Linked DNA regions of Struthio camelus. The protein of the gene in region 4 interacts with the protein of the main gene of each other region in a pairwise test. Links are inferred from orthologs where the notes say so. Each region holds a gene or a part of one and is shown on either strand. Other genes may lie near its edges.

Region 1 (7,298 bases), on a different chromosome or scaffold from region 4:
AGGCAGGAAGGGCAAACGCCTTCAAAAGAGGTTTTCCTGTCCTTCCCCATCTTTGCCAAAAGGAATGATCAGGAAAACCTTGCTACAGCCTGGGCCGTTCTTCCCCCCAAGCAGCTGCTTTTTTCTAAGGAGGAAAGCAAAGCGAAGACTGGTGCCACAAGCATTACTGAAGGAAAAAGCCCAGCAACACACACTTACCTCTTCACTGTTCAAAAGGAAGAGATGGACAAGGAAGGGAAGGGAGAGAAGGGGGGGGGGAGAAAAAGGCAGTTAGCATCCTAATTAGAAACAAGTGGAGGAATCTTAACAAGTGAAAAAGTTGGCAGCTAAACAGAAGTTTTAAAAGGCCAACAGCATATCAGAGACAGAAAATGGGAACTTACTCAGACATCTTGCTTTAGGTGGTTGTAAACCTGCAATGAAAAGGGAGAAAAGAAAGGTTCGTAACTATTCATATTGGTGATGACCTTCTTGGGCTTAAAAATACAGCAAGATTCCCCTAGAAAAAAAGAGGAACAGCTTTGTTCTTATTTCCCAACTTCTCCAAAATTTCATCACATAGGGAAGTAGGCTGCGGTCTGCAGACGAGAGCCAAACACGGGCCTCCTCGCAGCCACACACACCTCAGCATCTGGGTGCTCCTGGACTGGACAAAGCAATGTTAGGCCAGAAGAAGAAAGACAGATTTGTGACAATAATTCCTGCAAGGATGTCTCTGACTCCCAGGAAAACCGCTTTATGCAATGACAGAAGAAGGAGGAGAAACAGCTATTTTCAGACTTGACTCTGCCATATAGTTCTCTTTATACAGTTCTGTAGCAACATAAAAGGCAAATCTTTCAGGCCTCAGCCTTCCTGCCTGCAAAACGGGGCAAACGGCACCGCCCCACTTCATGAACAAGAGACGTCCCAAAGATTGCAGAGGGTTCAGACACGATGGCGATGGAGTGGGACAGCAAGCGCAGGTAAGGAGGACCTCAGCGCGTATTGCTGCCATAATGTGCATGCGTTGCGTGGTGCGGAGGAGCCTAGTGCAACAGCCACAGCACAAATAACACAGAATAGGTTTGAAAATTTTTTGTTGCTTTGATAAAGCCACAGCCCCCGACAAGTTCTTGCATCTCCTTCACGTGGAAATTATACAGGCCCGACACAGCATATTAAGGAAGAGAGAGGAAAGCACCTTTGAATCTTCTATATTTTGCTATAAACTGTTTCCCCACAACACATAACATATTTTTTTTTTCTAGCAGAGCAGTATTTCCTACTTGTATCCACTAACAGAAGGACCCCAGAGTGCCAACCCATCCCCAGTTCGGCTAGTCTCTCGCAGCCCAAAACACAGCGCTCTGCAGACCTGGGGGGCCGCATTTGGGAGATAAAGTGTTAATGGGGCCCAAGCCCAAGGGAGGACGTACAGATTGCAGGGACGAGCTCCCTGAGGAAACTTTATCCTGGAAAATGTGCAGGCCCATCACATTACTGGGGTGGAAAGTGCTTCTAAAAATGGTCAGGGAGCTGCACAAGGAGCTGCAGCTGTCTCCTCAGACTGCAGCCTTTCCCCGGTGCCAGGCCCCATGACTCAGGGAGGTTGGGGCAATGCAAAGCAAAAGCCACCACAGGTGGCTCAGCTACAGCTGAGGGACAGGGCCTCGGAGGAACGCAAGCTATTTTTACTTGCGTTCCTCCCGCACGCACACATGCACCCACTTCAATGACATCTAAGCTGCAAGTACAAAGGAAGCAAGGAGAGAATCCCAGATCGCAGCTATCCGCCTGTGATAGGGGCTTTACATCACCTGTTCAGTGGGTTGCAGTAAATCTGAACGTCTACCCCTGTCTTACAGGCTTCGAAACGTGGAGGACAGTTTTGGGGAGGAAGGCGCTGCACAGACCGGGTCAGGAACTGGAGCAAGAGCTGTAAGTGGGGGAGCATTGCTGAGTTACACCAGCAAAGGATGGGATCCCGCCTCCCACGGCCTTGGGGAGGTCAGCGTTACAGAGCCTGCGGCTCCACTCGCCCTTCCGCTCAAGCCGGAAAGCAAAGCCAGTCAAGTGAGGGGAAGGCATGAAACCAAAGAGAAAGAAGGTAACTGGAAAAGACAAGGAGACTTTCTGGTTGCGTGGGCCCTCTCCAACAGGCAAAGGATGGAGGCAGTCCTATCAGCACCCCAGTTCTCCCCGGCAGGCCACCCCTCTTAGCATTTATCTCCCCAAAACTCACGTGAGTGAATCTGCTTCCCCTTCGCCCCCTAACAGCAAGCTGGGTCAGTAAGAGACATGCAAAACGGCTCACCCAAGCGCTGAGGAGAAAGACAGAGAGCCCCCGTGGATGGACAGGACTGACTGGCGAGCCGTAGGCAGCTGGCTGAGTAAGGAGGTATAAAAGGGCTTCTCGGGTGGCTCAGCAGAAAATCCACCTTCTCTTTAAGGGCATGGAGACCTTCTCAGACCAATGATGTGCAAGACTCCCTTGTGCACCTCCCTTGGCCGGGGCAGGCGAGCCAAGCAGCCCTGGAGGAGAGGGCAGCCACCGTGGGCAGCGGGGAGACGGCGACGTACAGCTACGGGGTGGGGAGGGGGAGGACGTCTGCTGCTGGTGGGGTGGGGAAGTGGAGCCACCTCGGAGCCAGGCGGTGCTCTTCCTGGTGAGCGCTGTGGAAGGAGCCTTCCTCCCCCTCTTCTCCCTCGCCAACCTCCCACGCTGGATGTGGCTTCAGGGCTGTGGGGGCGCCAGGCTCCCTGCACACAGTCCACCTGCAAGGCCGGAGCTGCCAGGAGCAGCCCGTTAGTAAATGGGAGAAGGAGCAATGCGTGGGGGAGCAGCCCCACACGACCAGCAAGAAAGGGTAACCCCAGAGTCTGCTGGGGCATGCCCCAGACCCTTGCCTCCGTGGGCCCAAGGGAAGGGAAGACGGAGGATCCCACAGGGATAGGAGCCCAAGGAGCTCCTGCCCTCTTTCCTCAGGTCAGGCACTCCCTCCCCTTTCAGCCACAGTTTTTAGGCTGACTCAGAGGTGGCCCTGACAAATTTTTCCAAAAGCCTCTCAGACGTTGTCTATACAAGCAACAAATCTGCTGCTGCAGACTTCCTGTTTCACCACCTTTAGCACGATGCAACCCCCAGCTGCGGACGCCTGCGAAGGAACAGCCAGTCCCTGGCGCGAAACACCAGTGCTGCCTCTGCAGCAGGCAGGGGGTTGCCCCCACGTCCCGTGGCAGGGCGAGCGGAGAGGAAGCCACAGTGCGGGCAAGGCTGGCTCTGCTCAGGATTTGTCTCCCTGGAACATCAAGGGCTAGGCGGTGGGTGTAGTGAGATCAGCACCACCCCACCAAGTCAGGAGTTTCGGTGGCTGTTGATGTGAGATTCCCCCTTGCTAACCCACTGCAGGACTCCTGCAAATGCACAGAGAAATGGTGATTCGGCAGCGGTTGCTGGCTGGCGGTGGCAGCTGGGTGGACGATCCCCCACCAGTGGGAAAGACCAAGAATATGCTTTCTTTCATCTGTAGATTGGATTGGTGCAGGCTGAATTTGGGTAACCCAGGCTGACTGTTCCCTGAGCGCTGCTCCGCTGCCTGTTCGGGCTGTGAGTCAGCACCTCGAAAAGGAGCCGGGCTGGGGAAGAGCTGTAACGAGAATCAGCCCGATCTGAGCGTGCCTCCGCGCGGAAGCAGCTCCTGCGAAGAGCAACCCCTGCTCCTGCTCGCGAAGCAGAGCACGGCCAAGCCACACCAGCCCCTCCCGAACGAGGCTGTGGTGGTGGGGGCACGGGCGCATCGTGACTTCTGAGCACCATCTGCTGGGAAAGGAGAAGAGAGGCACAAGGATCTCCGTCTCCTCCCAGGCCCTCTGCACGTCTCCCCGGGCCAGGGTCCCTGCAGAGCACGCTGCACCTTCCCGTCCCCAGGCCATACTGCGTGTCGTGTCCTCCACATCCTTGTCCCTGGGGCAGTCTGTACTCCAGTGGAGACAGGTCTTCAGCTCCAGGCAGGCCTACAAAACACATAGGTTAAAACTCCAGCAGCTCCTGCCGTGCATCTCTTGCTACTGCCACTGAAGAGGACTCGTTGGTGCAGGCCTCACTGTGGGCAATTTAAAATTAAGGCCCACCCAGCATCCGTCTCCCATCTGGTCTTCAGCAAAAGCAGACAGTTTGGCAGGAGGAATGTCTGCTTGTCCCAGATAAAGCTAGTTTCTCAGAAACGATAAAAAGCAGACCAAAGCAAGCAACACAGAAAACTGTTTGAAGATGGACAGCGACCACCCTCCACCAGCCAGCAGTAGAAACCATCCATTAAGAAACAGCTGAGCTGCTTCACTTTTCTTCTCAGTACCAACTCTGTAAGCCATGTTTGTCTCACTTAAACCAATTCTTTATTATTCCAAAGTTTCTACAGCAATATTTTTTCGGCTCCCTATGCAACTACACATATTGGCGTGTATGGTGACTTGATTGCTGGCTCACAGGTCCTCAAGACAGTGGCTCAGCTTTTGGAGGAAGAATCAAAACTGGGGAGTTATCCGCTCAAAACTTATCCGCACCCAAGGAGTTTCATTCAGCTCCATGAAAGGAAGGCTCTTTGAACTTCCTGGAGTGCAGGCATGCTGCACAGGAAAAAAAAGATTTGCTCTGAATTCAAGTTTTTAGTTATTACTTTGTGCCTGCAAGTATTTGGTCTGAAATCGGTAAGTGGGGAGTTCACAGAAATGGCTCTCCTTTCACTACACTGTTTTTGCACAAAGCAAGGAGTCTCAGGGAAAAAGTTTTGACTAGCAGATGTGATTTTAGGATAAGGAAGGTCAAGAGGGCCAGTGACTGGAGGGTGAGGTGCGGGAATAGGGTGAGTAGAAGGTCGAGCCTTCAAGTCTGCTTAAGGTTTTCTCTAGAGTTGCCTTGTCCAGAGGTCAAACTCTAGGATAGCTCTCTAAAATTAAGAAGATAGCTCTCTAAAAATAAGAAGAGGCCCCAGACCAAGAATGTCATGAGGAAGAAATCCAATGAGCACCAGGAAGAATAGAAAAACAGAAACAACCCAAAGTAGGAGAGGCAGTTGACATTAAGAAAGATAATGGTTTCTAAACGAAGTAGAGTAAGCGTTTGGGTGACAAGTGAACAAATTCCTTGCAGAAAAACTCAAGGAAAACATAAGGAAACTCCCGTCAAGTCCTTCAGAGAGGAACATGGCTCAGTGAGGGCAAGGCCGCAGGAGCCAGGAGTGGACGCAGTGTTCAGACTTTACGTTTCCTGTGGAGCAGATGACCAGTCCCCTTGCCTTGTTCCCCTCCCCTCCTACTAAGAGGACACGCAGCGGGTGCAACCCACCATTCCCCAGAGCAGCTGCATTGTCTCTGCAAGGCCCAGGCAGAGGGAAGATCTGGCACATAAAGGAGGTTCTGCATTATATTTTAAAGAGATTCAGGTATCGCACTTCTGGGCTATGGTCTTCCAAGGGAGAACCACCACGGGTCCAAGCTATTCCTCAAGGCCATCTCCTTACACTTATACTACTGGATGCCTCCTCTTGATCCTACAAGCATCAAGTGGACAGGCACTGTGTCCTATAAAGCACTTCATTCACTGCATAGTCATGTTTGTGGACTAACTAATCCAGTATGTACCAGCTAACATTATGTTTCCATCTATCACTACCTAGATCCTGTTTACTATGGTTCTGAATGGTCCTCCAGTGCCAGAAGTGGCTCTACTCCTCTACACGATCCCATCCTGCTCTCTGGTCTTAACACATCTGGAAGAAGCAGCTCTTATTTCCAAGGATGATGCTGTCAGTAAGGACCTAGGCCTTCTACTCCCCAGCAGATGTGCTCATGGTAAAAAAATCAGGCAGGATCACTGAACAAACCAATGTCTGGCTCCCCTTTGCTTTCCCAAAATCACATCAGAGCAACGCACATGGTTCCCATCCCACCCCACCCAGGATACTCCCTCTCCCTCTGGTGTTTCCCTAAAAGAGTTCCCCACGCTTGACTTCTGCTGGCACCAGACCCTAGGAACTGCTAAAAAGGAAGGCCGCAGCCTTTGCATCTTGCCCCAGCTCTTTCCTAAATACCCCACAGCAACAGTCATCTCATTCACCTATGAGATAAGTTAAGGCCATGTTCAGTTTGGCTTTTCATCTTCAGGGCTGCTGCCAGACAGCACAGCAACCCTGCCCTTTTAGCTCCATGCCATCTTCCTTGACAAGGAGTGCTTCAGGCATGCCATGTTGACACCTCCAGGCTGCAGGGATGTCTCCAAACCCACCAGCAGGTCCTGGTGGCACTCCTGGATGTTCAGCGGGTACCGTGCCCTCACAAACTCATAGGCTGCCAGCAGTCTCATGCTGTGCTTGACCATCAAGTACTGGATGACGCAAGTAGGGCCTAGAGAGTAACCATCTCTACAGTGGATAAGGACACGCTTCCCTTTCTCCAGCGAGGCTTGGATGCACTCATTGATGTCCCGGAAGCAAGGTTGTCCCAGTTCATGTTGGTCCCCATCCAGGGGAGCCTGGATGTCAACCTTGAGGCGTGACCAGCTGTGCCTGAACCCTCCCCGGCCACAGGTGCAGGGAATGATGCTCAGGCTGCGGTCACTGGGCAGACTGCTCATATCGATGATGCTGTCAATGCCATTTTTGCACAGTGCCCGCCCACTGTAGGCAGCATTGAGGTTCCCCAGGTAGATGCAGTCTGTTATCCTAGCGATGATGGGTTCTGTGAAGTGGAAACACACAGGCTCTCCTGGCTTCAGACCGCTGGGATCCTCAGGATGTGATTTCTTCTTCCAGGTACCCTTGCAAGTTTTCTTGGAGCCCACTCTGGACAGAGGGCTGGAATCTGGTTCTGAGCTGCTGCTCCATGACGGTGGCGAGAACAAGGAGAAGCAGCTGGAAAGCTTGGCTTTGGAAAGGGGGTCCACTGGACAAGGCAGGAGAGGACCCAGAGTAGGACTGGATCTGTGGGCACAAGAGAGGGGTGCCTGCACTGGGGACCATGTGCTATGGGCTGCCCCTCTGCTCTGAGCCTCGTCCATCTGCAAAACAGGAAAGGACTGGTGAGACTGCAGAAATTCAGCTCTCCGCTGCAAGCACAAGGAGACATGACCTAGCAGTAGACTTTGCCCACAGCAGCACTCGGGGTCCAACCCACCAGTAGATACTAGAAGCCCTGAAGACCTTGCACATCTCTAGCCCAAACACCCAGCCAGCCCGTTCCCTTGGGACAGAGGCATGAGCATGCAGTGAACGCTCACCTGGGCCTGCAAACCACTCTGCCCGTCCTGGAGTGCTTGGTGG
Region 2 (8,156 bases), on a different chromosome or scaffold from region 4:
CGTGAGAAGCCACGCCCCCTATGCAAAAGAACCACCCTCAGGCCCCGCCCCCCTCTTCCTCCTGCCGCATCCAGCCCTGCCCTGCCCACCACCCAACCTGGCTCCGCTCACGGCCCTCCCCCTGCCCCGCCCTCCCTGGCGGCAAGTCCCGCCCTCCCCAGCAGCAAGCCCCGCCCCCGGCGGCAGGCCCCGCCCCCTCACCGGTGACGGACAGCTTCTCGATGGCGCGGCGCTCGCCCCGGCTGCAGTGGGGCGGCAGCGAGTAGCCCTTGATGCTGCGCCCGGTGCGCACCCGGCTGCTCAGCACGTACTTGGGGTCCAGGTCGTCCCCCCCCTGCGGGCACCCGTCAGCAGGGGGCCCAGGCGTCCGGGTCCCCTTAAACCCTCTGCAACCCCAGCAAGGACCCAGGCATCCGGGCACCCTGCCCCTCCCCACCCCTCAAACTCAGGAGGGACCCAGGCATCCGGATCCCCTTGACCTCCACGGACAGCCCCCCTGTCTCCACTCCCACCAGCCAGGATGGGCCCAGGTGTCCGGTGCCCCTCCCCCCTCCCCCGGGGGGCCCCGGCATCCGGCACCTTGAGGTTCTCGTGGTTGAGGTCGGTGCGGTGCTTGTCGGTGGGCTTATAGCCGCCGTGGCGGTCCTGGATGACAGGGTCGAAGAGCTCCTTGAAGACCTCGTAGGACTCCTCGTCCCCGGCCACGCAGCCCACCGTCATGATGAACGGGTGCCCTGCGGATCACCCCCCACCGTCACCAGTCACCCCACTGCCGCTGGCACCAGGCACCCACTGCGACAGCACTGGACAGTGGGGATCCCAGGGATGGTCGAGGGGACACCAGGGCTGGTCGAGGGGCTCCTGGGGACACTAAGGCTGGCTGAGGGGACACCAGGACTGGTCAAAGGGACACCAGGGCTGGTCGAGGGGCTCCTGGGGACACCAAGGCTGGCCGAGGGGACACCAGGGCTGGTCAAGGGGACACCAGGGCTGGTCGAGGGGCTCCTGGGGACACTGAGGCTGGCCGAGGGGACACCAGGGCTGGTCAAGGGGACACCAGGGCTGGTCAAGGGGCTTCTGGGGACATTGAGGCTGGCCGAGGGGACACCAGGACTGGTCAAAGCGACACCAGGGCTGGTCGAGGGGCTCCTGGGGACACCAAGACTGGCTGAGGGGACACCAGGGCTGGTCAAGGGGACACTGAGGCTGGTTGAGGGGTTTCTGGAGACACCAGGACTGGTCAAGAGGCTCTGGAGACAGCAGAGTTAGTCGAGGGGCTCCTGGGGACATCAGGGCTGGCCGAGGGGACGGTGGGGACAGCTGAGCTGGTTGGGGGGCTGAGGGGACCCTGGGGACCCCGGTGCCCACCAGGGTTGTCAACGCCAGTCTGGATGACGTCGTCGAGGGTGAAGCCACTGGGCGTCTCCTTGTCGCGCAGGCGCTGGTAGAGGGCGAGTGTCAGCACCTTGGCCATGTGGTTGTTGTGCTTGGAGAGGTCGGGGAACTCCTCCTCCGCTGAGAACTTCAGCTTGTGCTTGTTGTGGGTGCTGCTGAAGGGCATGGTGGCGGCGGGCCTGCGGGCACCGGCACCGGCGTCATGTGCTGCCGCAGGACATGGCATGGGCCACGGCATGGGCATGGGGAAAGGCTTGAAACATGGGCATGGCACACGGCATGGCATGGGACACAGGCGTTGGGTATGGCATGGGACACGGGCATGGGACATGACAGGGCACTGGGCACAGTATAGGACATGGCATGGGGCACAGCATGGCACTGGGCACAGCATGGCACTGGGCACAGCCATCAGGGCCAGGGGCTGGACATGGCACGACGTGGCACGGGGGACACGGTACGGTGTCACAGCACGGGACACAGGCATGGAACATGACATGACATTGGGCACAGTATGGGACATGGCATGGGACACACCATGGCACTGGGCACGGCCATCAGGGCCAGGGGCTGGACATGGCACGACGTGGCACGGGGGACACGGTACGGTGTCACAGCACTGCCCAGGTATGGCAAAGAGGTGCTGCACAAGCATGGGGGACACAGGTGCCATGGCATGGGCACAAGGCATGGGGGGACACAGCAGGGACATGGGTGCCATGGCACAGGGACACAGTATAGGCAAGGGAGTGACAAAGGACGTGGCACAAGTACAGAGGACATGGCACAGGGGACATAGGGGATATGGCACAGAGGACATGGCACAGGGGACATAGGGGGCATAGGGGACATGGGGGGCATGGCACACGGGATACAGGAGACATGGGGGGACACAGCATGGGGGACACAGCAGACAGAGGGGACATGGAGGACATGGCGTGGGGGACACAGGGGACATAGAGGACATAGTATGAACACAGAAGACACAGGGGACACAGGCGATACGGCCCAGAGGACATGGCGTGGACACAGAGGACACAAGGGACACGACATGGGGGACACAGCATGGACAGAGGAGACACGGGGGACACGGGCATGAGGGACACAGGGGACACGGAGGACATGGCCTAGGGGACATGGTGTGGTCACAGGGGACACAAAGGACACCGGGGTGGGGTGGGGGGGCGCCAGCCCAGCGCAGGCTCGGGCCGGGCGGGCACTAGGACCCCGGGGGCGGGGCGTCGACGGGCGTGTCCCGGAGGGGCGGGGCCTCTCCGGGGGGCGGGGCCTAGGCCAGCCGGCAGGTGCCGGCCGGGGCCGGGCTATATTTGGCCGGGCCGAGCCGGGGGCTATTTATAGCCCCTAAAGGACTCCGGGAGCCGAACCGGGGCGGGGGGGGGGGCACCGGTACCGGCCCCGCCGGAGCCGGAGCCGGAGCCGGAGCCGGAGCCGGAGCCGGAGCCGGAGCCGGAGCCGGAGCCGGAGCCGGAGCCGGTGCAGCCTGGCCCGGTGCCGGTTCGGTGCCCGGGAGGGTCGCACCCGGTTCGGTTCAGCACCGGCGGGGTCCAATCCGGCCGGTACCGGAGGGGTCCGGTCCGGTCCGGGCAGACCCGGCTCGGTTCAGCACCGGCGGGGTCCAATCCGGCCGGTACCGGAGGGGTCCGGTCCGGTCCGGGCAGACCCGGCTCGGTTCAGCACCGGCGGGGTCCAATCCGGCCGGTACCGGAGGGGTCCGGTCCGGTCCGGGCAGACCCGGCTCGGTTCAGCACCGGCGGGGGTGCAATCCGGCCGGTACCGGAGGGGTCCGGTTCGGCCAGACCCGGCTCGGTTCGGCACCGGCGGGGTCGGACCCGGCTCGGGTCGATACCGGAGGGCTCCGGCCCGGTTCGGTTCAGCACCGGAGAGGTCCGGTGCCGGTACCGGTGCCGGTGCCGCGGGGTTACCTGAGCGGCGCGGACGAACGGGTCGGGTCGGGTCGGGTCGGGTCGGGTCGGGTCGGAGGGGTCGGACCGGCAGCGGCGGCGGCGGCGGGGAGCGGGGCCGGGCACCGGCCTTTATAGCCCCGAGGCCGCGCCGCCCCCCCGCCTCGGCCCGCCCCCGGGGGGTACCGGGGGGTCCGGGGCCACCGGAGGGTCCGGGGCACCGGGGTGGTCCAGGAAACGGGGGAGGTCCCGGAGCACCAGGGGGTCCGGCACATCGGGGGGTCCCGGGACACCGGGGGGTACCGGGGGGGGCCGGTACCACCCGCCACTGGGTTACATCGAGCTGGACCGGGCGGGGGGGGGGGGGCAAAACCGGGACTAGGGAGGTAAAGCTGGGACGAGGGTCGGGGGGGGAAAACCGACCCCAGGGGGTTAAAACCAGGACCGGGGGGTGCAAAACCAAACCCGGGGTTTGGGGAGGGTAAAACTGAGCCTAGGGGGCAAAACCAAGACCAAGGGGCGGAACCAAGACCAGGGGGGTAAAACCAGGCCCAGGGAGGGCAGAAGGGCCCCAGGCAGCCCCGGTGCGATGGGCCCGGCCTCACCGGGACCCTCCAGGCCCCCCCTGCACCGAGCGGGTCAGGCCTCAGCGGCGGCGGGTGGCCAGCGGGCACCCTGCCCGGCAGCTGCCCGGCCCTGAAATACGGCCGCGAGGTGGGGCCGGGCGCTGGGCCAGCCAGGCGCCCGCTGCGTCCGGCCCTCGCACGCGCGCCCTTGCACGGCGCCCTGTGCCTTCCATGGGTGTCCTGTGCCTTGCATGGGTGCCCTGCACCCTACATGGGCACCCTGCACCTTGCATGGGCGTCCTGCACCCCACATGGGCAGCTTGCACCCTACATGGGCACCCTGAGCCTTGCATGGGCGTCCTGCACCCCACATGGGTGTCCTGCACCCCACATGGGCACCCTGTGCTTTGCATGGGCACCCTGCACCTTGCATGGGTGTCCTGCACCCTACATGGGCACCCTGTGCCTTGCATGGGTGTCCTGCACCTTGCATGGGTGTCCTGCACCCCACATGGGCACCCTCTGCTTTGCATGGGTGTCCTGCACCTTGCATGGGTGTCCTGCACCCCACATGGGCAGCTTGCACCCTACATGGGCACCCTGTGCCTTGCATGGGTGTCCTGCACCCCACATGGGTGTCCTGCACCCCACATGGGCACCCTGTGCCTTGCATGGGTGTCCTGCACCCCACATGGGCACCCTCTGCTTTGCATGGGTGTCCTGCACCTTGCATGGGTGTCCTGCACCCCACATGGGCAGCTTGCACCCTACATGGGCACCCTGAGCCTTGCATGGGCGTCCTGCACCCCACATGGGTGTCCTGCACCCCACATGGGCACCCTGTGCTTTGCATGGGCACCCTGCACCTTGCATGGGTGTCCTGCACCCCACATGGGCACCCTGTGCCTTGCATGGGTGTCCTGCACCTTGCATGGGCGTCCTGCACCCCACATGGGTGTCCTGCACCCCACATGGGCACCCTGTGCTTTGCATGGGCACCCTGCACCTTGCATGGGTGTCCTGCACCCCACATGGGCACCCTGTGCCTTGCATGGGTGTCCTGCACCTTGCATGGGTGTCCTGCACCCCACATGGGCACCCTCTGCTTTGCATGGGTGTCCTGCACCTTGCATGGGTGTCCTGCACCCCACATGGGCAGCTTGCACCCTACATGGGCACCCTGTGCCTTGCATGGGTGTCCTGCACCCCACATGGGTGTCCTGCACCCCACATGGGCACCCTGTGCTTTGCATGGGCACCCTGCACCTTGCATGGGTGTCCTGCACCCCACATGGGCACCCTGTGCCTTGCATGGGTGTCCTGCACCTTGCATGGGTGTTCTGCACCCCACATGGGCACCCTGCGCCTTGCATGGGCACCCTGCACCTTGCACAGGTGTCCTGCACCCCACATGGGCACCCTGTGCCTTGCATGGGTGTTCTGCACCCTACATGGGCACCCTGCACCTTGCACAGGTGTCCTACACCCTGCATGGACACCCTGTGCCTTACATGGGTGTCCTGCACCTTGAGTGGGTGTTCTGCACCCAACATGGGCACCCTGCACCTTTCATAGGTGTCCTGCACCTTGCATGGGCACCCTGCACCTTGCGTGGGCACCCGGCACCCTGCACAGGGCTCGCTGTTCCACCTCCCGCACCCCGGTCCTTGCCCGCTGCGCCCCCTCCTCGCACACGCGGATGTGGGTGCGGGACGGGGAGAGGGTGGAGGGAGGGCGGGATGGAGAGAGGAAATGGAGGGAGAGAGAAGGGAAAGGAGAGAGGGCCGGGCAGAGCGTGGGAGGGATGGCGAGAGGGAGGGAGGAGAAGAGATGGCAGGAGGAGATGGAGGAAGAGAGGAAGGGATGGAGGGAGGAAGGGAGAGGGACGGAGGCAGGGAGAGAGGGATGGTGGGACGGATGAGGGAGCAGCGGAGGGGTAGAGGAGATGGAGGGAGGTGTAGGAGGGAGGGAGAAGGATGGCAGGAGGTGGCGGTGGATGAGAGGGATGGGTGGCGTGATGAAAAGAGGATGGAGGGATGGAGAGAGAGATGGAGGGATGAACAGAGAGGCTAGAGGGAGAGAGGGATGGAGAGATGGAGGAGGGATGGAGAGATGGATGAACAGAGAGGATAGAGGGAGAGAGGGATGGGGAGATGGAAGGAGGGATGGAGAGATGGAGGAGGGATGGAGAGATGGATGAACAGAGAGGATAGAGGGAGAGAGGGATGGGGAGATGGAAGGAGGGATGGAGAGATGGAGGAGGGATGGAGAGATGGATGAACAGAGAGGATAGAGGGAGAGAGGGATGGGGAGATGGAAGGAGGGATGGAGGAACGGTGGCGGGAGAGGGGAGATGGAGGCAGGGATAGATGGAGAGAGGGATGGAGAGAGAGGGGGAGACCCAGGTGAGGAGAGGCCGGCCACAAGGGTCTCCCCCCTCACCTCCCCCAGCGCCAGGTCCACGGGTGCCCCTTGGGGACACGGTGGCACCCCCGTCCCCAGGCCGGGGAGGCCACCGGTGGGTGGCACAAGCCATCCCCACGCCCAAAATAGCCGCGGAGGGTGCCAGCAGCGCCCCGTCCCCCATGTCACCCACACCCCCAGGGCGTGGGGTCCCTGCTGTGGGTGCTGGGTTGGGGGGGGAGGTCAGGGTGCTGGGGACACCCAGCGGGTGCCGTGACCCTGGGGAAGGATCCGCTGGATCAGGGCAATTCTAGCCGGGGACGAGCCTCCCCCCCCCTCCCCACCCGGTATTTTTAGGCCGGGTCCGGTTACCCGCGGGGATCCGGTGTCGGGCCGGGCGGTGGGGCGGGGGGGAAGCGGGTGCTGGGGACCCCCACGGGGGGACCGGGAGGGCCAGGCGGCGGGGACACTGTGAGGGCACCCACCACCCCGCATGGGGCCCTGCGGGGGAAACCGAGGCAGGGAGTGGGGTACCCCCCGCCGGGTGGCCCCAGGCACCCAGGGGTGGGCGAGCCCCCCTCCCCGTGCTATGGTGGGGGGGGATGTTGGGCTGTGGGTGCCCCCCCAGGCAGGGCAGGGCACCTGCACCCATGGCAGGGTGGGGGGGGTGAGGGACACCTCGGTACCCCCGGAGTGTACGTGGGGGGGCTGTCTGGGTGTCCCCAGGGTGTGTATGGGGGGGTCTAGGTGACGCCAGAATGGGCATGGGGGGGCCTGGAACCCCCACAGGGTGGGTATGGGGAGGTCTGGGTGACCCCAGGGTGGGCACGGGGGGGTCTGGAGCTCCCCAGGGTGGGTATGGGTGACCCCAGGGTGGGCATTGGGAAGTCCTGCAGCCCCCCAGGGTGGGTATGGGGGGGTCTGGGTGCCCCTGGGGTGGGCGGGGGGGGTCCAGAGCCCCCCAAGGTGGGTATGGGGGGGGTCTGGGTGCCCCTGAAGTGGGCAGGGGGTGGTCTGGAGCCCCCCAGGGTGGGTATGGGGGGGTCTGGGTGCCCCTGGGGTGGGCGGGGGGGGGTCCGGAGCCCCCCAGGGTGGGACGGGGGTGCCAATAGGGTGCCCCATAGCACTGGGGGGGTCCCCTTGTCCTTGGGGTGCCCCCTAACCCCGGCGGTGCCCCCCCCTCTCCCGGGGCCGCCTCAGGGCGCCCCCCGCTCCCGCTGAGGCGGCCCAAGATGGCGGCGGCGGGGGCGGCGCGCGGGGCATTGTGGGGCGGCGGCGGCCGCAGGTGAGCGGCGGTGGCCGAGGGGCGGGAGGGGGGGGAGGCGGCGATGCCGGAGCCCGGCGGCAGGTGCGTACGGGCGGCCGGTTCGAGCCGGGGCCGCCGGTTTCGCTCCCGGGGGGGGGGTGGGGAGGGAAGATACCGGTTTTGAAGGTGGGAGGGGGTGTCCGGTTTTGGGGGAAGAGGTGTGTGTGTGTGTGGGGGGGGTCCGGTCCGGGAGCGGGTTGGGGGGGGGGGCGTCGGGCTCTCCCGCTCCCGGTGCGCTGCGCTGGCTCGGCCCGAGCCGACCGGGGGGCTCCGCCCGGTGCCGCCACCGCCGGTGGGGCCGGGCCGGGGGGCGCGCGCGGGGCGGGGCGGGGCGGGGCGGGGCGGGGGGACCCACGGCGCATGCGCGCGGGAGGGGCGGGGGGCTGTGGATGGTCGCGTGCGCATGCGCGCGGGGGGGGCCGGGAGGGGGGGCCGGGGAGGGGCGCGTGCGCATGCGCACGACTGCGAAGGGAGGGGGGCGCGCGTGCAAGGGGGATGGGCGCGTGTGCGCATGCGCTTGCCGGGGGTGGGGCGGGGCGCGTGCACGGGAGGGGGCGCGTGCAC
Region 3 (7,501 bases), on a different chromosome or scaffold from region 4:
CTTCCTAGAGCACCAGCAGCTGCAGCATCACAGACATGGTTTCTCGTATTCACTGCACAAACACTGCCTGCTTTTCACGTTACATGGCATCAGTCCAGTTTCACTTGTAGGTTTTGACAGCAGTCATCTTTGGCCATGGCCTCCACCATGTCAGAAGGTCTTCAGCTGTAATCTTTGCATGGTGGAACTAATGCCACACATCTGAAAATCTGTCTTGAGCACAAATGCTTAAGCTGTGCTATGCCTATCTTCAGCTAAGGTTCAGTGCCCATTTTATCATGGCTGGAATCTTGTCAGAAGCCATTCTTATCTAGTTCAGTAGACCACACTCTCTTTCTAAGGTCTTGCTTCATGCTTCAGAGAGGATGTGTCCCAGTCTTCTGGGCAAGCTTCCTGAAGCGCCACACTGGACTTTGGTCATAAACCACAGCTTGCCACAGCCCCACTTCTGACCACTTCACTTACTCTTGCTAAGGCACACTTTTGTGCCTGCTGCTTTTACGCATGTCTTCCCAGATTCAAGATTGAGCAATAAATCTAGAGATAGAGTGGAACAACCAACAGTGACTGTATGTCCATAGGAGAATCAAGTCTTTTCCTATACAGGAGTAAAGGGGGCACAGACAGTACAATGTAGTTTTGCTAATGTTGTTCCAATTATGCTCAGGAAGTTCTTTTTGAATTGAATATATATCAGCCCTGGCATTCCTTTCACAACCTGCATGTGTCTGATTTTTTGCCACTTTTTTTCTTTGGAGGAAAAACAAAAATCAGCACATCTTACAGTTCCTGAGAAATGACTATACTGACCATTACTTGATAGACTGCAAGTAAGCAATGCTAACAGCTTCACAGAAATCCATAGTAGAGTACAGCCAGGATCAGTTTGCAGTGGGAACCCAGGGCAACTCAATAACATTGACTTCCTGGTCCCTCCTCCCACATCCAAGAACTTGAATTATCCAGCAGTCCTTGCATCACAGCACAGTCCTATTGATGGCCATGTGATACAACCTTGGCCAGAAGCCATCCTTGAACTGCTTGAGATATAACTCAAGAGCAACAGATTGAAATAGGAAGGCCATGGGTGGTCAAAGTACGTGTCTGATTACTTTGCTGGATCAGGGCCAAGGTTAAGGTACTGCAGGTTTGAACGAGACACACAGTGACACGCGCTGGTCAGAGACGTCTGAATGCCTTAAAGCAGCCCATTGTACCATGCGGTTCCCCGCAGTTGTCACAGGGCTGTACCAGTTAAATCCAATGAGAATGCAAAATACCCTTCACTGTAATCAACTATGTCTGTTTTAGTGGCAGAAAGCAGGAGAGAGAGAACAGTTCTCAGATAAATTATTTGGACCAAACGGCTACGTAAAGCCTCCAAAGAGCTCAGATGCTTACACTGATCTTACTTGATGAGCTAGGTGCTTTTGTAGCCTACTGAAGAACTGTTAAGAGGTACCAAAATCCCAGTCTGTTGAGGCACCTCCATATTTTTACAACATGCACCTACCTGCATCTGCACAAATGCGACCCCAAGACAGGGTGTAACAAAGCTTGTAAACACCAAGCAGTACCATATGGAACTGGGAGCACCAAGGGTAGGACCCTGACCCACAAGAAACATGTGCATTTGGCTGACCTTGAAGACTGCCAGAGTGCAGAGAAACAACTGTACACTTAAGGAGCGGCTGCTCACCCACCAAGCCACAGCCACTGACACGTTCTGGTTCGTAGCAGACTGCAGACATGAAGCAAAACCACCACAGAGGCAGTGGTTCAGCAGGCTAGGAGCTCACATGGGGCCATTCACCGTGGCCGTAGCAGCTTATCACTCAACAACAAGCAGTAGCTTTGTAACCATTCACTGATACCTTAAGGTACTGCTTGCGTGATCACAGACACATACAGGCGCAAACATAGGACCGGGGTGTGTGACAACATCAATGCCCAGGCAATGCAGTATTAGGCTCTTAATTCCACCCCACAGGTGCCAAGAGTGGGAGAGGGCAAACAGCTGGCTTATGGGATATGGAAAATGAACCCCGGGGCACCCTGTGCAAGTCAGCAACTCACAAGTGTTGCACCAAACCAAACAGATCAGCATGGGACATATCTGGCTGCTACAGTAAGCAGAAAGTCAATGCAGTTATTTCTGTGCCTTCTCCTTGCTGACAAACTGGCTAGGTTCAGCTCCTTTTCTCCAGATGCAAAAATACGGTTTCCATGTCTCACATGCTGCTATCTCTCAGCTTGGAGCCAAAATTTTAATGTTCACCCCAGAAGCAGAGCTGATGACAAAGCATGGCTGCTTGCTGGGAGTTATTTATCGAGACCTGCACGGCTGCTTTCACTGAGGCGGCTCTTCAACCTGCAGTACTCCATCAGAAACAATCCCTCTTGCCATAGTAAGAGGGAAACACAGATGAAACCAACAAACCTTTTATTACTGCTGTGATGTAATGAGACACCATAACTATTTTTTAACGTTTATCTGGTACGCACGAATCCTTACATGTGAAGGATCCGGTATTTGCTTTGTGAGGTACCATTTTCACTTTAGCTAAAGCAGCAAGGCTTTTCTTTAGACTCTTCCATTAAAATGCAAAAGAACCTTAATTCAGCCATGGAGCCAGTTTTCACAGGTGACTTCTGTCCTTTACAAAGGCCCCTATCAATGCTCTTAGGTAAATGTCCCCATGCCCTGGAGGTGACTTGAGCCCACTCGCAGCTACAAGGGATGCTACTATTTTCTTTTGCACACACCACTGTGTTGTAAGGAAAAGGAGGTAGCTCTAAACATACTGATTTATGTTTGTGTCTCCAGGTTCATAGGGTAAATCTGAAGGCTCAGCCTCCTCAAAAGTCTCAGCATCCTGGCAGGGACAGAGGAATGTCACAGTAAGTACAAACACTGTTGGGTCAAGTACATTCAGCCTGCTGAAGTCTCCGTCTCCATCCTGCCATGTTTATTTTTCCCCCCACACCAGGAAAAAGCGGAAAGCCACCACTGTTTTGCTGACCATTGGTTCCTCAGCCAATGAAGTCCCTAGCAGCCGCTCAGCCCACCAGAGTTACACCACTTTAATTCAGCCGTTATCTATTGACCCTCAAAGAGTAGGTTTCACATTTTTTAAATTATTATTTATAGTATTTAGAAGTATTTTGTAAGGATCAGCTCGAGCACATCTTCAGCAGGTCACCAAGAGGCAAGAATCATCATGAATATCAAGATTTGGACTCTTTCTCCTGGAAAAGGGCTTTCTGGCTTGGGACATTTTCCAGCCTGAATTGCTAAGAGAATTGAGGGAGCAGGGGAATAAGGCTAGAAGTAATTGAGCAGCTGCCACACAACTTAGCCATTTGCCAGCCTCCTCCAAAGATTCATTTCAGATAGATAGTTGGTTTTGAACATGTCACTTGGTCAAGAGCTGGGGAACTCAAACTATCTAGGAACGGACTTCCATCTTAACTCAGGCTGGGAGGAAAAGAGCTGATAACTTGGGTCATTTTGGAGAACAGACAGATTATGGAAAAGACCATGACCACAGCAAAACAAACCCGGGCACTTCAGTTGCACATTTCCATGCAAGACAGGTAGTCCAAAAGCTAAATGGGATGGGTAAGAGTGGACATCAACACTTTGCCAGGGAGCAAGCACATATCTTGCACTGCAAAGATTTGATAGCCTTAAGACTGCCATTCTCGATTAATCAAAGACCTTACTCTAATCTCTACATCAATTAAGCTTTAAGAAGAATGTCAGGACAGAGCACCAAAGTTCCTTCTCGTTTCCTTACAATCAGCCTCACTGTGGTTACACATGCACCACACAAGCCAGGAAGAGCTAGACCTGGAACCAGCTAACCCAGGCAGAAATTTCCGTAGAAGGGGACAACTACTGGAAGGCAAAACTGAGCTGTATACAGAGACGACAAGATGTGAGCAGTGAATTGGCTTTTATGATCTATAGGACCAACAACATTTACAGGTTATCAGCTCTTCCTCCGCTAATTTGTTGTTCACAGTCCAGTAAGGCATTTTCTCTTGGAGCACTTGAATGGAGACTCTCCCTGGGGTACGTGATAGGCTGGTGCACAAACAGCAGATAAAACACTCTGGCGCCTTCCTCTGCTTCAAAGTAAAGCGCCAGCAACACAGCTGGGTTTATGCATGTGAGAAATGCAAACTATAAAATCACTTTTCTTTGCTATATAGATGCAGAGTCCCTCTACGAGCCAGACAGGGCCTTCCTATGGAACCACACCTGTGTTTACAAAGGTAACGAGCAAAGGTTGGCTGAATGACATCGCTTCTTCTGCGACTTCAACCCCTAGCATTAGACTTTGAGTTTGACTTCTTCCTTTAGAAAACCCCTGGGGGTGGGAACACTGGTTCATTTACATTTCAAAAAATCACCATACTTCATTAGCAAGGCTATCAAACTAGTATCTTAATTGGTAAATGATCCTGAGAAACAGAACCACTCACATGAATGCATCTCATTTGTTTGCTACAAAGGCTGAAGCGGAATCTCTCACAGTAGCCTCCCTCATTATTGGTCATCCACTAGAATTAGATTTTTTTTCTGCATTTTTGTTTTGATTTGAATGCATGAGCAAGCTAAAGCCTTTCAATGAGTGCTGGTCTACAGGCGAAAAAACCCTTCACTCTCAACCCACTTCAAATATATCTAGAATCAAATCAATTATTTTAAGTAAAATAAAAGAGTCATGCCATCATCTTATTCACTAAAGGGTGTTTGATTGCCTAAGTGTTTCTCCATTTAAGCAATTACTACGTATGTCAGCCATTTTACACCATTTTCTCCTCCTCCAGGGTCTACAAAACATCAGAGCTACGAAGGGTCAATTAGTGGTATTTGAATGTCGTATTCGCACCACGCCAACCTTACAGGTTCACTGGTACAGAGAATATGACCCGATAATAGATTCTGCAGATTTCCGAATACTGCGGAAAAGTAGGTATCGCCATGCCTCTCTGATGCACAGTAATTTTATCGGGATAGCGATAAGACAGGAACAAGAACCACTATGAAAATTAGAGCATAGTACATGTTCATAGAGATAGAAGTTGGTTTAAAAGTATCATATGATCTGCAGTTGCAGACCGCTCTATAGAGCCCGTCCTTTCCTTCTCTGGGGATGTGCGCGCAGACCAGGCGTGATGGGAAGGGACTGCAAGGACATTAGGTATTAGTGAAAGCACCACTGAGCCACGAAGGCACTGTCACAATATACTGTAACTAATGATCAATTCAGCGATCTTCTGAATCACCTCAGAGGAGAGGGGAGAGGGGTTTGTACTATCAGGTTTCGGTCAAATCTGAACTTACCCTAGCGGGACGGTATTTCTCTTGATGAACACAGAGAGATGGTTGTTTTGCAACAAGGGTGACAGCTGAGGTGGTGAGTGAAGGCTGAAGGTCTTTCTTCCGTTTTGGCATTTACAAGCATTTAATTATTCTCTCTCTTATTTTGAGCAGAGGCTTGCTCATCAGCAGCTCCTGGTAAGTACATCACACATCTTTTGTTAGACATCCCATCAGTTAGTTTACCCCAAGCTTAGTTTTTTCCCCTCATCTCATCCAAGATAAAACAATAAAACTGAAAGGGTGGCCAGAAGATACGGGTTCAGCAGCAGACTAACGGCTTTCAAGTACTTGGTTTTGACATAAGCTCCTGAAGGGCCCCGGTTTATTTAGTAACACAATCAAATTATCCTGTTTACATTCAGCCAAAGAAAAACATCTTGTATTCTGAGAGACACTGGAAACTTATCAATCATACTAACCTGTGGGATTTTCGGGGTTTTTTTCCTTAAAGTCACAGGCAGAAAGATCCTTCCTTCATCTTCACCCCTTCCAAATCCCTTGACTTCCTATGCTCTTTACACCACTTCTTTCTGAAAAGCCCTATGGCCACCAAGCCCCATCACCAATTAACTGTCCCTTCGGCAAGGACCAGGTCCTACAGGCTAACATTCGGCCCTTACAGTACAACAGCGTGCCTCAATTTGTCGTTTCAGAGGAAGTCTGCACATTGGTTATTACAGAAGCTTTTCCAGAAGACTCTGGGATATTTAAATGTGTTGCTGAAAATGAATTTGGATCAGCGGCATCTAGCGCACGTCTCTCTGTCTCCCCAGGTAAGCACACAGATCTCTGAGCTGAACAACCAAGCTCAGGAGCCTCTGCTGCCACTCAGTATCCGGCAGAGTCGCAGGTATTCGTGAAACAGAAACACTTGTGTAGGCTCAGCCAAAAAGAAACGCCCCAAAAGCATAGTCCGCTTGGGTATTTCTCAGGGTTGAACGCAAGTTGCTCTGCGTTTCTGCTTCTGGCCTTGCTTCCCCCTGGGTCAGCGTAAGGGCGACAAGGTGGAGCTGCTGTTCCCTCGCACAAGGGGTCTCCCCCCCAGACCTTCGCCCCTTCGCCCCACAGCTTAGCCCAATACACTGTCAGTATCGGCACCTGTTCATCACAACGCACAACTAGCCCAGCTCGTGCTCGGAGCCAGCTGCGAACCGAACGACTGACTTGTGCACAATTCCGTTCCCAGGAGCAAAAGACCTGGAGAGCTTTGCAGGTGCTGCCCCGGTGCCGGCCACCACGAACAAATCCACTTTCCCTAGAGGCAGCCAAACTGCCACCATGGAGCGAGACGCAGCTGGCCAGCCACCCTACGGCACCCGGCAAGAGGCCCCAGGGCTAGGCCGGCGAGCAGGATCCACCGACTTCAGCCAGATGAACTCCGAGAGCGAAACCGAAGATTTTCCTGGCATTTATGAGAATTCACCTCAGGCTTCACCTCTGCGGTAAGGCAAAGGGGAAAGTCACATCCCTAGAGTGGTTTTAAACAACAGTTAGAGGATGAGCTTTCTAGCGACCCCAGCAACGCAACAGCAAAGGTCCCGTGCCCCATACCCTATCCGGGCAAACACGCACACGCAATAACCTGAGCTGTTTGCCTAGATGTCATAGGAACTTGTTACACCAGCCGAGCTACAGAACAGCACAGGCTAGAGCTGACAAAGTACAGAACTGTCTAAAGGCTCAGGTAAGTGCCTAACGGTATTGTCAGAAGTGCCTACCTGTAAGCAGCTTTAAAAGCACGGCCACGCATAGCCACCAGGAAATGCCCGACGCCACAGTCGAGCATGAGACAAAAACCACAGCATCTAGGAAATTTCAAATCACAGTTCTGTTGCCACCGATTTCCTCCATAGCCTTGCCCAAGACGCATCGCTTCATGTTTCCGTCCCCTATTCTGTCAAGCAGCTATAGAAGTTGGGATGTGGGAAGCATGGCGCGCTTAGATTGCACCTGCAAAGCACCCTGTGGAGGAAAAGCACCGACCGGGTGATCCCACCGCGTACAGCGCGAAGTGTCCCCTGGCATGGTAGGCCCTGTTCAGCAGATGGAAATTTTCCTTAAGAACAAAGTATTACCTCTCGTAATAGGACTCAACCCAATTTCTGC
Region 4 (7,398 bases):
GCCATGCTGGGCAGTGCGGCGGTCAGCGCCTCGGGTGCCCTGGGTCGGGGGCACCGGGGCCACGGGCCAGGGATGCTGCGCAACAGCCTAATTTTAGACCCGTGGTGGTGTAATGTAGTATTATCGCAGACCCGAGACGAACGCTCGCCCTCTGCTCCTTGCGGCGAACGCGTGACTTGGCCAGGGGAGCCCCAGGCGCCGCGGGGGCAGCTGAAACACGGCCCCCCCTCCTCCCCGGCGGCTTTTAGCCAATTTGCCCCTTCCGCGAGCAGCGTGACGGTGGCTGGAGACCCGGCCAGGCGAACTGAAGCCACCTGCTCGTGCCCCTTTAGGACAGCCGACCCCACCGAACCGAAACCCGGGGGATTTCACCCCAAAGCCAGGGGTGCAACGAGCTCGCCGAGCCACGGCCGCCCGGGGGGGCCCGCGGGGCGCTCCGCTGCCCGGGCGCCTTCCCTGCTGCGCAAACTCCGATGCCGGAGATGTTTGTCGTCTGACATCTGTCACCGTCCCCATGGCTGGCGAATAATATTTACAGTGATTCAGTGGATTTGGGAGCGGGTTCCCGTCGGCTCCCGTTTTGGGAGCAGCCGTTGCGCCGGGGCTTGCTCTCACCCTCTTCTTTCTCCTTTATAAATAGATTTAGCCCCTTCCTGCCTCGATAAGCCGTGACCTCTCGCTGTCCTTCCCCTTCCCCCTCCGAGCCGCCGGCACATTTGCACCCCAGCTGGGTCCCTTCCCCTGAGCAACATGAGCCTTTGCTTTTTCCAGCCCCTGAGCAAGATCCTCCCCCTGAAACCGTCCCTCCGTCCCTTATCAGCCGGCAATTCCCAGCTCTCGCAAGCGGAGCCGGTATTTGTCCCGCGCGCCCCTTATCTCCGCCTGAAACCTCTATCTGCAAAACGCCAGGCGTTAAGGACAGGACGGGTCCCGCTGTCGTTCGCCGCCGAAGGACCCGCTGCCCTCCGCGGCGGCACGAAAGCCCTGGGAGATCAGCCCTCCCCGAGGGACAGCGCTCGCGACTTTACTGCTCTTGGTGTCGGAACGAAAACGTTCCAGCTGCGCTATCGGGAGGAAGAGACCGGGGATGGCAAGCGGCAAGCAAGCGGAAAGGACCCACGGTTTCCAGCAAAGGTGCAATCTCCTAAAGGACAAACGGCTCTCGGGCTCACCTGCAGCACTCCTGCTTGTAGATGTCGATGATGTTCTCCACCAGCAGGTTCCTCTGCAGCCCGTAGACGCCGTGGCGGTCCAGGAGCACCTCGTGGCGGCAGGACGGGCACCGGAAACGGCCCCCCGAGATGACGCTGCCCCGACTCTGCCAGTACGGGTTGGCGGCCTGCAAGGAGAGCCGTGTCAGGGTCCCCCGGCCGGGGACACCGGGGGGTCCCGTGGCACCTGTGAGCATCCTCGCGGCGTCCTCCCCCGGCCCGCTGAGCCGTCCCTACGCTCGGCGCCCCGGTGGGGACCTCTCATGGCCTGGCCACCTCCACCACCAACCTCTTCGTGCCCGAAACCAGCCTCCCGCGCTGCCCGCGACGGAAAGCTCCGCTGTGCAGGGGACAAACCATGAGCCCGAGGGCTTCTCGGGGTCAGCCGAGTGCTGGCTGAGGACCGGCCCCGGCCGCCGGCGGCTTTGGGGACGCCTTGCCACGGCGCTCACCTGGAAGACGTCGTTGGCGCACTTGCGGCAGAGGTTGTGCTGGCAGGGCAGGATCACCACGGGCTTGGTGAACATCTCCAGGCAGATGGGGCAGATGAGCTGCTTCTCCAGGTTCTCCATGGGGCTGCCGTCCCGGATGATGCCGGGCTGGTAATCCATGGGGCCGGCCAAGGGCGGCCAGAAGCGTCGCTGCTCCTCTGCCGGCGCCGACGGGGCGACGGGCGGCGCTGAGCTCCCGCAGCTCGGCTGCAGCCACCCGCCTTTGCCTGCCGCTCCGGCCGCGCGGCTATTTATAATTCGCGCTGCGGTCACGCGGAGGGACAATATTGGCAGCGGGTCGAGTTTCCCACCCATCACATGGGAGTGAGCAATCGCCGGGCCGAGCGGGAGGCCGGGCTGTAAACAGGGCTCGGGACGGCCTGTCCGCACCCGCGCTGCCGGGGGGCTTAGCGTCTCCCGGGACAAAGAAACCGGAGCCGGGGCCGTCAGCGCAGTCACGCTTCGCCCAGGTGCAAGCGGCCCAAGGGCCGACGAGGCCGGACACGCCGCCGGCACGGCCCCCGGGGCGCCGGGCTGCTTCGGCCTCGCGCTCCTCATCCCGCCCGGCGCCACGTGGGCACCTCGCTTTGGGGCTTCGCGGGTGCCCGAGCCCGTCCGGCCCGTCCCCGGCAGCGTCGTGCCCCCGGCCGAGCCCCGTTCCCGCGGCCGCCGACCTGCTTCGTCCAGTTTATTCAAGCAGAAAAATCGCTCTCGTCCCCCCCCCCCGCCCCAAATTCGGGCAGCGCTGAGCTCTGGCCGACCGGATGCGACCGCGGGGCTGCGGGGCGGGAGGGCGATGACTCGGGGCTGGGAAAGCCCCCGGCCGCATAGCAGCGACTCATCCGGGCACCAAAAAAGCCCCCACGACCCAGGCCCGGCACGTGGGAGGCTGAAGCATCCCGAACGCGCCCGGGGCGCCCGGCCACCACGAGAACAGGCTGCGGCGTGCGGGTTTCCCCCGGGCGACGGGCATCAGCCAGCGGCTGGGGCTTTTCACACCCGCTCTCTGCCGGGACGGGACCCAGGAGCGATAAGAAAAGCCGCTCCGGCGGGTCCCCATCCCGGCACCGAGCGACGCTGCTCGTTCCAGTCGTGCCTGGCCGAGACGGGGACAAAAGCAGCCGGTGCCGGGGCGCACCTTCGCCCTCGTCCCGCGGCCCCGGCTAACCCCGCGCCTCCCTTGCGAAACCCGAGCCAGGAAAGGCTCCGAGGCGAGCAGCGGGGCGGCGGGCCGAGGCCGGGCCCCTTCCGCGAGAGCTGCTGCAGGCGACGGGGGTTAAGAAAAAAATAAAATCAAGCCGCCGGCTCACGTGGGCCGGGGTGGCATCTGCGAGCCGCGGCGATAAACAGGTTGTGATGCCCAGCTCCCGCGGCGGTCCGCAGGGAGACCTGTAAATGTTGGCAGCCGAGAGGGGACAGCGGGTTAATTATAGCGCGGTGGGCGCGGGTGGCGCTGGCACCCGGCCTCGCACGGCGGCCGCTGGCCGGACCCAGCCGCGTTTGGGGCCGGTGGCAGCGAGGGGGGTGGCGTGCCATTAATTAACTAATTGCTTCTGGACTCGGTTAAGGGGATTCGCGGCACCGGCTGGGTTGGTTGTACCCTAATCGGCTTCAAACCCGCCGCTGGCCTGCAAGGGGCTCGTCGGCTCCTAATTGGCTTGGGGGGGATCAGGGAAGATGGCGACGGGCTAATCACCGCCAGGCTGATTAGTAATTAATATGGGGGTGAAAGCGGGGGACGGTGCACGGCTGGCGGGAAGAGCTGCCTCCACGGCACCGCGGGTTTGGGGCCGGCGCGGAGCCCCGCTCCAAGGGGAACCTCTGCCCCTCGGCCGGCCCCGGCCCTTTTCCCAAACGGATCCGCGACGGCCACGCGCCCTCTGGTGCCGCGGGAACGTGGCTCCCTGCAGGCCAGGGTGGCCAGAGCCCACGTCCTCGATTTGGAGCTGGGGTGAAGCAAATCTGCCGCTCCAGCGTGAGTTTGCAGCCCCTCGAACTTGCAACCCCCTCCCCTTTTTAAGTTGCAACCTCCCCGCCCCGAGGCTGCTCCCCCGGCCAGGCCGACGCTGCGAGGGGCCGGAGGTGCGAGGCCGCAGCAGACCGTGCAGCGCGTTTGCACCCAGTCTGATGGTGCAGGAAAGGAGGATGTTGCCCGTGTCGCCGGAGGGACTCGTGCGCAGCGAGGGGCCGAGGCTGCAGGGTGCTGCGGGCCTGCCGCCATGCGAAGGGTCACGCCGCGGCCTCCCGTTCTCCGTGCAGCGCCGGCACTGCTGCTGTACGGAAAAGCACCACCAGGCCTGGCGCTCCGGAGGAACGGAGGAGAGGAAGGGACCTGGCACGACGCCAGAGCGCACCAAAAGGCGCGAGGCTCCCTGGCGAGGGAAGGCTCCATATTTTTCTCTTAAGCGAAAAAAAAAAAAAAAAGCCGATAAAACAGAATAAAATAAATAAGAGCAGCGCTGACAGCCGCCGAGCGGCGGGGCGAACGGAGGAGCGCACGGGAAAAAAAAGCAGCCGCGCGGGAAGGAGCGCACGTGGCAGGCGGCGCGCGCGTTCCCGCCCCGCCGCGAGGGGGCGCGCGCGCGCGCTGCCGCCGCCGGCCAATCAGGAGGTGGGGCGGTGGGGGGGGCGGAACGCGGCGGTGGGGGGGCGGGGCGACGTCTGGGGGGCGTGGCGACGTCGGGGGGCGGGGCGACGGCGGCCGGAGGGGGGAGGGGGTGTGTCGGCGGCGGCGCGGCGGGGGGAGCCCTATAATGGCGGCCGGGCGGCGGGAGCGCGGCGGCTGCGGCGGCGGTGCTGAGGTAACGCGGTGCCCGGGGCGGAGGGAGCGCGGCGCTGGCGGCTCCGGGGCGTCACAGTGAGGGACTGAAGCTCCGAGCTTGGGCCCGGCTCCGCCTCCGGCGCTGCCCTGAGCGGGGGCCCCGGCACCTGCTGCGCGGCCCGGCCGGGCCCTCGGGGTGAGCGCGGCCGCGGGGAGCCCGCGGGGCCTGGCGGGGGGGGAGCGGTGTGGAAAACGGGCGAAACCGCCTTAATTCCTTCCCCGGAGTGACCTCCCCTGGGCGCTGGTGGGGTCCCTGCGTGGCTGCTGCTTGTGGGGCCTCCCTGGTGGTGCTGGGTGGAGGGGAAAGGTGACTTGTTTTATTCTGTAATTGTTATTTTTGACAAGGCAGCCGGGGAGCAGAGACGCTTCATCTGTGTGGTGCCTGCCTGGGCCCGGCAGCGGGGCCAGGCCTGGTGCTTGCTGCCCCTGTCCTGCTGCTGGCCTGATGGGTTGGCGTGAGCAGGCATTGCTTCCCCTTGCCTTGCCCTGTGACCCCCCCCCCCCCCCAGTGACATTCCCGGCCTGGGCCAGGCTGCTGTGGGAGTGTGGCCCTCCTGGTGAGGGTGGGTGGCTGCCCTGGCAGTGTGATGGAGCCCCCCTGGTGACAGCGTGCACCTACCTGGCCAGAGACGGGGCCTGTCTCCCGCTCATGCTGGACCTGGTGCGGTAGTGTCCGAGTAGCACCGTCATTTCCTTAGATTTGGCCGTCCTTGAGGTTATGGATCCTGCTTTCCTCCCCTGCTTGGGAGGTGTTACTGGCCCATTGGGTCTTCCCCTTCAGACCATCATCTGTTCCTCCTAGCCTTGTTACAGGCGCAGGTGCGATGCCTCCTGCGACCTGCATCTCGCACAGTGAATTCCTTGCTCACGCCAGTTGCAGTTCAGGTGTTACAGTAAATGTTCACTGCAAAACTCTCCTGAAAGGGTCTAAACATCTGCATCGATGGTGTCCTGAGGCTGGTAATACCTGTGTCTGTCTTCCTACTGGGAAAACTAGAAGGCTCCCTCTGACAAGGGGCTGTTTCGATGTGGTCCTTAGTGCCTGGTTACTGACAGAAGGAGAGTTACACCTATCACTAGCAATCTTTAAAAAAAAAAAAAAATTTTAGTTCTCATCTACTAATTGTGATCTTTCTTTCTTTCTTACATTTAGTTCTGTCTGACCGGTGATGTTTGGCTAGCCAAACCTTTTTTTTTCCCTGTCTGTAGTCAGTGTCTCATTCTGGTTTGTTTATATGAAGGTGATGTTGTGTTTTGGTTTGTAAACTTGCAGAGAAGTGTGTAGAGAGGCTCATAAGTTTGTGGCACTGTTTTTTTGTTTGTTTGTCTCTCTTGTTTTGTTTATAGAACAATATATTAGTTTTTGTTGAAATCCTTGCCCTGTTCAGCAAAACTGAAGTTGAGATACTGAGTAAAAGCTTCTGTAATCAGTTGCCCTCTTTAACTCTTTGGAACCTTAAACTGATTATTCAGAGGCGCCTGGGTAAAAAAAGCATAGTAACAATTGGAGGAAAAAAAAAAAGTAGGTGTTCTGAAGCATCCTCTTCTTCTAGTATCCAGAAAAGATTTTTGTAGTTAAATTATAATAGAAAATGTTTACCTATCCTGTCACCTCCTTAAAAGGAAGTTTCAAATTAAATCTGCTATTGCCTAACCATAACTTTCAACTAAACCTCTTCTCTGATATCCCAGGCATGGGTTGAGCATGATACTGTGCTATTACATGCACAGATAGAGCAAAAGATACTGAGAGAAAACAGCAAGAGAATATGTGATAATCCCATCTCAAGTACAAGTCTAGGTCTGAATTGCTGCATTCTTGAAAACTGGCCTGATTTGCAATCTTAGTAGTCTGACTGAAATGATAGAACTTCTCTTAACTGCTCCTTAGCAACAGGTATGGGTTTACAAAGTAGGTTCTAGGATATTCTAGCACTCGAATGTGGTGTTATGAGATGTTACGTTCAGGGGCAGTGCCCTAATAATTGAAGGCCTACTGTCGCTACACCAAGTCACATAGGGAAAACGCAAATTAGTAGTTGTTCACAAGTTTTAGTTCTATGGGTTTTTTCCCCTTCCCCCTTCCCCAGAACCTTTGATCTTGAAGATGGTGAGTAGCCAGCCTAAGTACGATCTAATACGGGAGGTTGGCCGTGGCAGTTATGGTGTGGTGTACGAAGCAGTCGTCAGGAAGACCTCCGCACGGGTTGCGGTGAAAAAGATTCGCTGCCATGCTCCAGAGAACGTGGAACTAGCTCTGCGTGAGTTCTGGGCGCTTAGCAGTATCAAGAGCCAACATCCCAACGTCATTCATCTGGAGGAGTGCATCTTGCAGAAAGATGGTATGGTGCAGAAGATGTCCCATGGCTCCAGTTCCTCCCTTTATTTACAGGTACATGAAGCTGAGGTAATGGGGTGGGAGTAACAACATATACCTGTAGCTGGGAGGGAAGGAGGTGGGTAGCTAAGAATTTTTTTTTTTTAAAGATATGCTTAGTTAAGAGAGACTATATGCACTGCTGACATCCAAAAATTATTTTAGATCTTTAGAAGAACATACTTATCAAACTATCACCTGTATCTTCTATTTGGAAGCTGTGCCACTCCAGATTTTTTTTAATGCAAATCTGCTTTGATAATTTGGGGAAAGGGCACAGATAACGCACAACGGAGATACAGGCTGTTGTGAACAGGTATTTATGGACGTCTTGAGACGATGCTCTGAAAGATTCCTTAATCTGAGGTGTCCTTGGAAGAAGAAGTAACTGTCTCGATTCAGGAAACCAGCACTTAAAACTTGTTCAGAAGTAATAATAAGGAATTGCTAGAGTACAGTGAGCTGTTTTGATTTCTTTTCTGAGTAAATAATCTCCTC

The links.
Region 1: the proteins of TRIM63 (region 4) and TNNI2 interact in a two-hybrid assay, tested with the Homo sapiens proteins (2 studies listed by BioGRID and IntAct). The link is inferred for Struthio camelus from reciprocal best matches to the Homo sapiens genes TRIM63 and TNNI2.
Region 2: the proteins of TRIM63 (region 4) and CKM interact in a two-hybrid assay, tested with the Homo sapiens proteins (2 studies listed by BioGRID). The link is inferred for Struthio camelus from reciprocal best matches to the Homo sapiens genes TRIM63 and CKM.
Region 3: the proteins of TRIM63 (region 4) and MYOT interact in a two-hybrid assay, tested with the Homo sapiens proteins (2 studies listed by BioGRID). The link is inferred for Struthio camelus from reciprocal best matches to the Homo sapiens genes TRIM63 and MYOT.

The regions. Positions count from the first base shown.
Region 1 is NC_090946.1:17,999,678-18,006,975, reverse strand, and holds the start of TNNI2 (troponin I, fast skeletal muscle), read right to left. Parts: upstream 3,112-7,298; 5' UTR 2,297-3,111; intron 2,245-2,296; exon of another isoform or gene 2,225-2,244; intron 1,919-2,224; exon of another isoform or gene 1,800-1,918; intron 414-1,799; 5' UTR 384-413; intron 1-383. Other genes in the region: uncharacterized protein, read right to left, coding at 6,179-7,036, 7,256-7,298. UniProt on the Homo sapiens protein: Troponin I is the inhibitory subunit of troponin, the thin filament regulatory complex which confers calcium-sensitivity to striated muscle actomyosin ATPase activity.
Region 2 is NC_090957.1:1,408,101-1,416,256, reverse strand, and holds the start of CKM (creatine kinase M-type), read right to left. Parts: upstream 3,416-8,156; 5' UTR 3,339-3,415; intron 1,575-3,338; 5' UTR 1,562-1,574; coding exon 1,369-1,561; intron 735-1,368; coding exon 580-734; intron 335-579; coding exon 202-334; intron 1-201. Other genes in the region: KLC3 (kinesin light chain 3), read left to right, coding at 7,615-7,634. UniProt on the Homo sapiens protein: Reversibly catalyzes the transfer of phosphate between ATP and various phosphogens (e.g. creatine phosphate).
Region 3 is NC_090954.1:5,806,741-5,814,241, forward strand, and holds the start of MYOT (myotilin), read left to right. Parts: upstream 1-4,218; coding exon 4,219-4,281; intron 4,282-4,839; coding exon 4,840-4,981; intron 4,982-5,506; coding exon 5,507-5,530; intron 5,531-6,048; coding exon 6,049-6,168; intron 6,169-6,581; coding exon 6,582-6,837; intron 6,838-7,501. UniProt on the Homo sapiens protein: Component of a complex of multiple actin cross-linking proteins. Involved in the control of myofibril assembly and stability at the Z lines in muscle cells.
Region 4 is NC_090964.1:7,166,389-7,173,786, reverse strand, and holds the start of TRIM63 (E3 ubiquitin-protein ligase TRIM63), read right to left. Parts: upstream 3,030-7,398; 5' UTR 2,261-3,029; coding exon 1,664-2,260; intron 1,340-1,663; coding exon 1,173-1,339; intron 1-1,172. Other genes in the region: serine/threonine-protein kinase PDIK1L, read left to right, coding at 6,631-6,915. UniProt on the Homo sapiens protein: E3 ubiquitin ligase. Mediates the ubiquitination and subsequent proteasomal degradation of CKM, GMEB1 and HIBADH.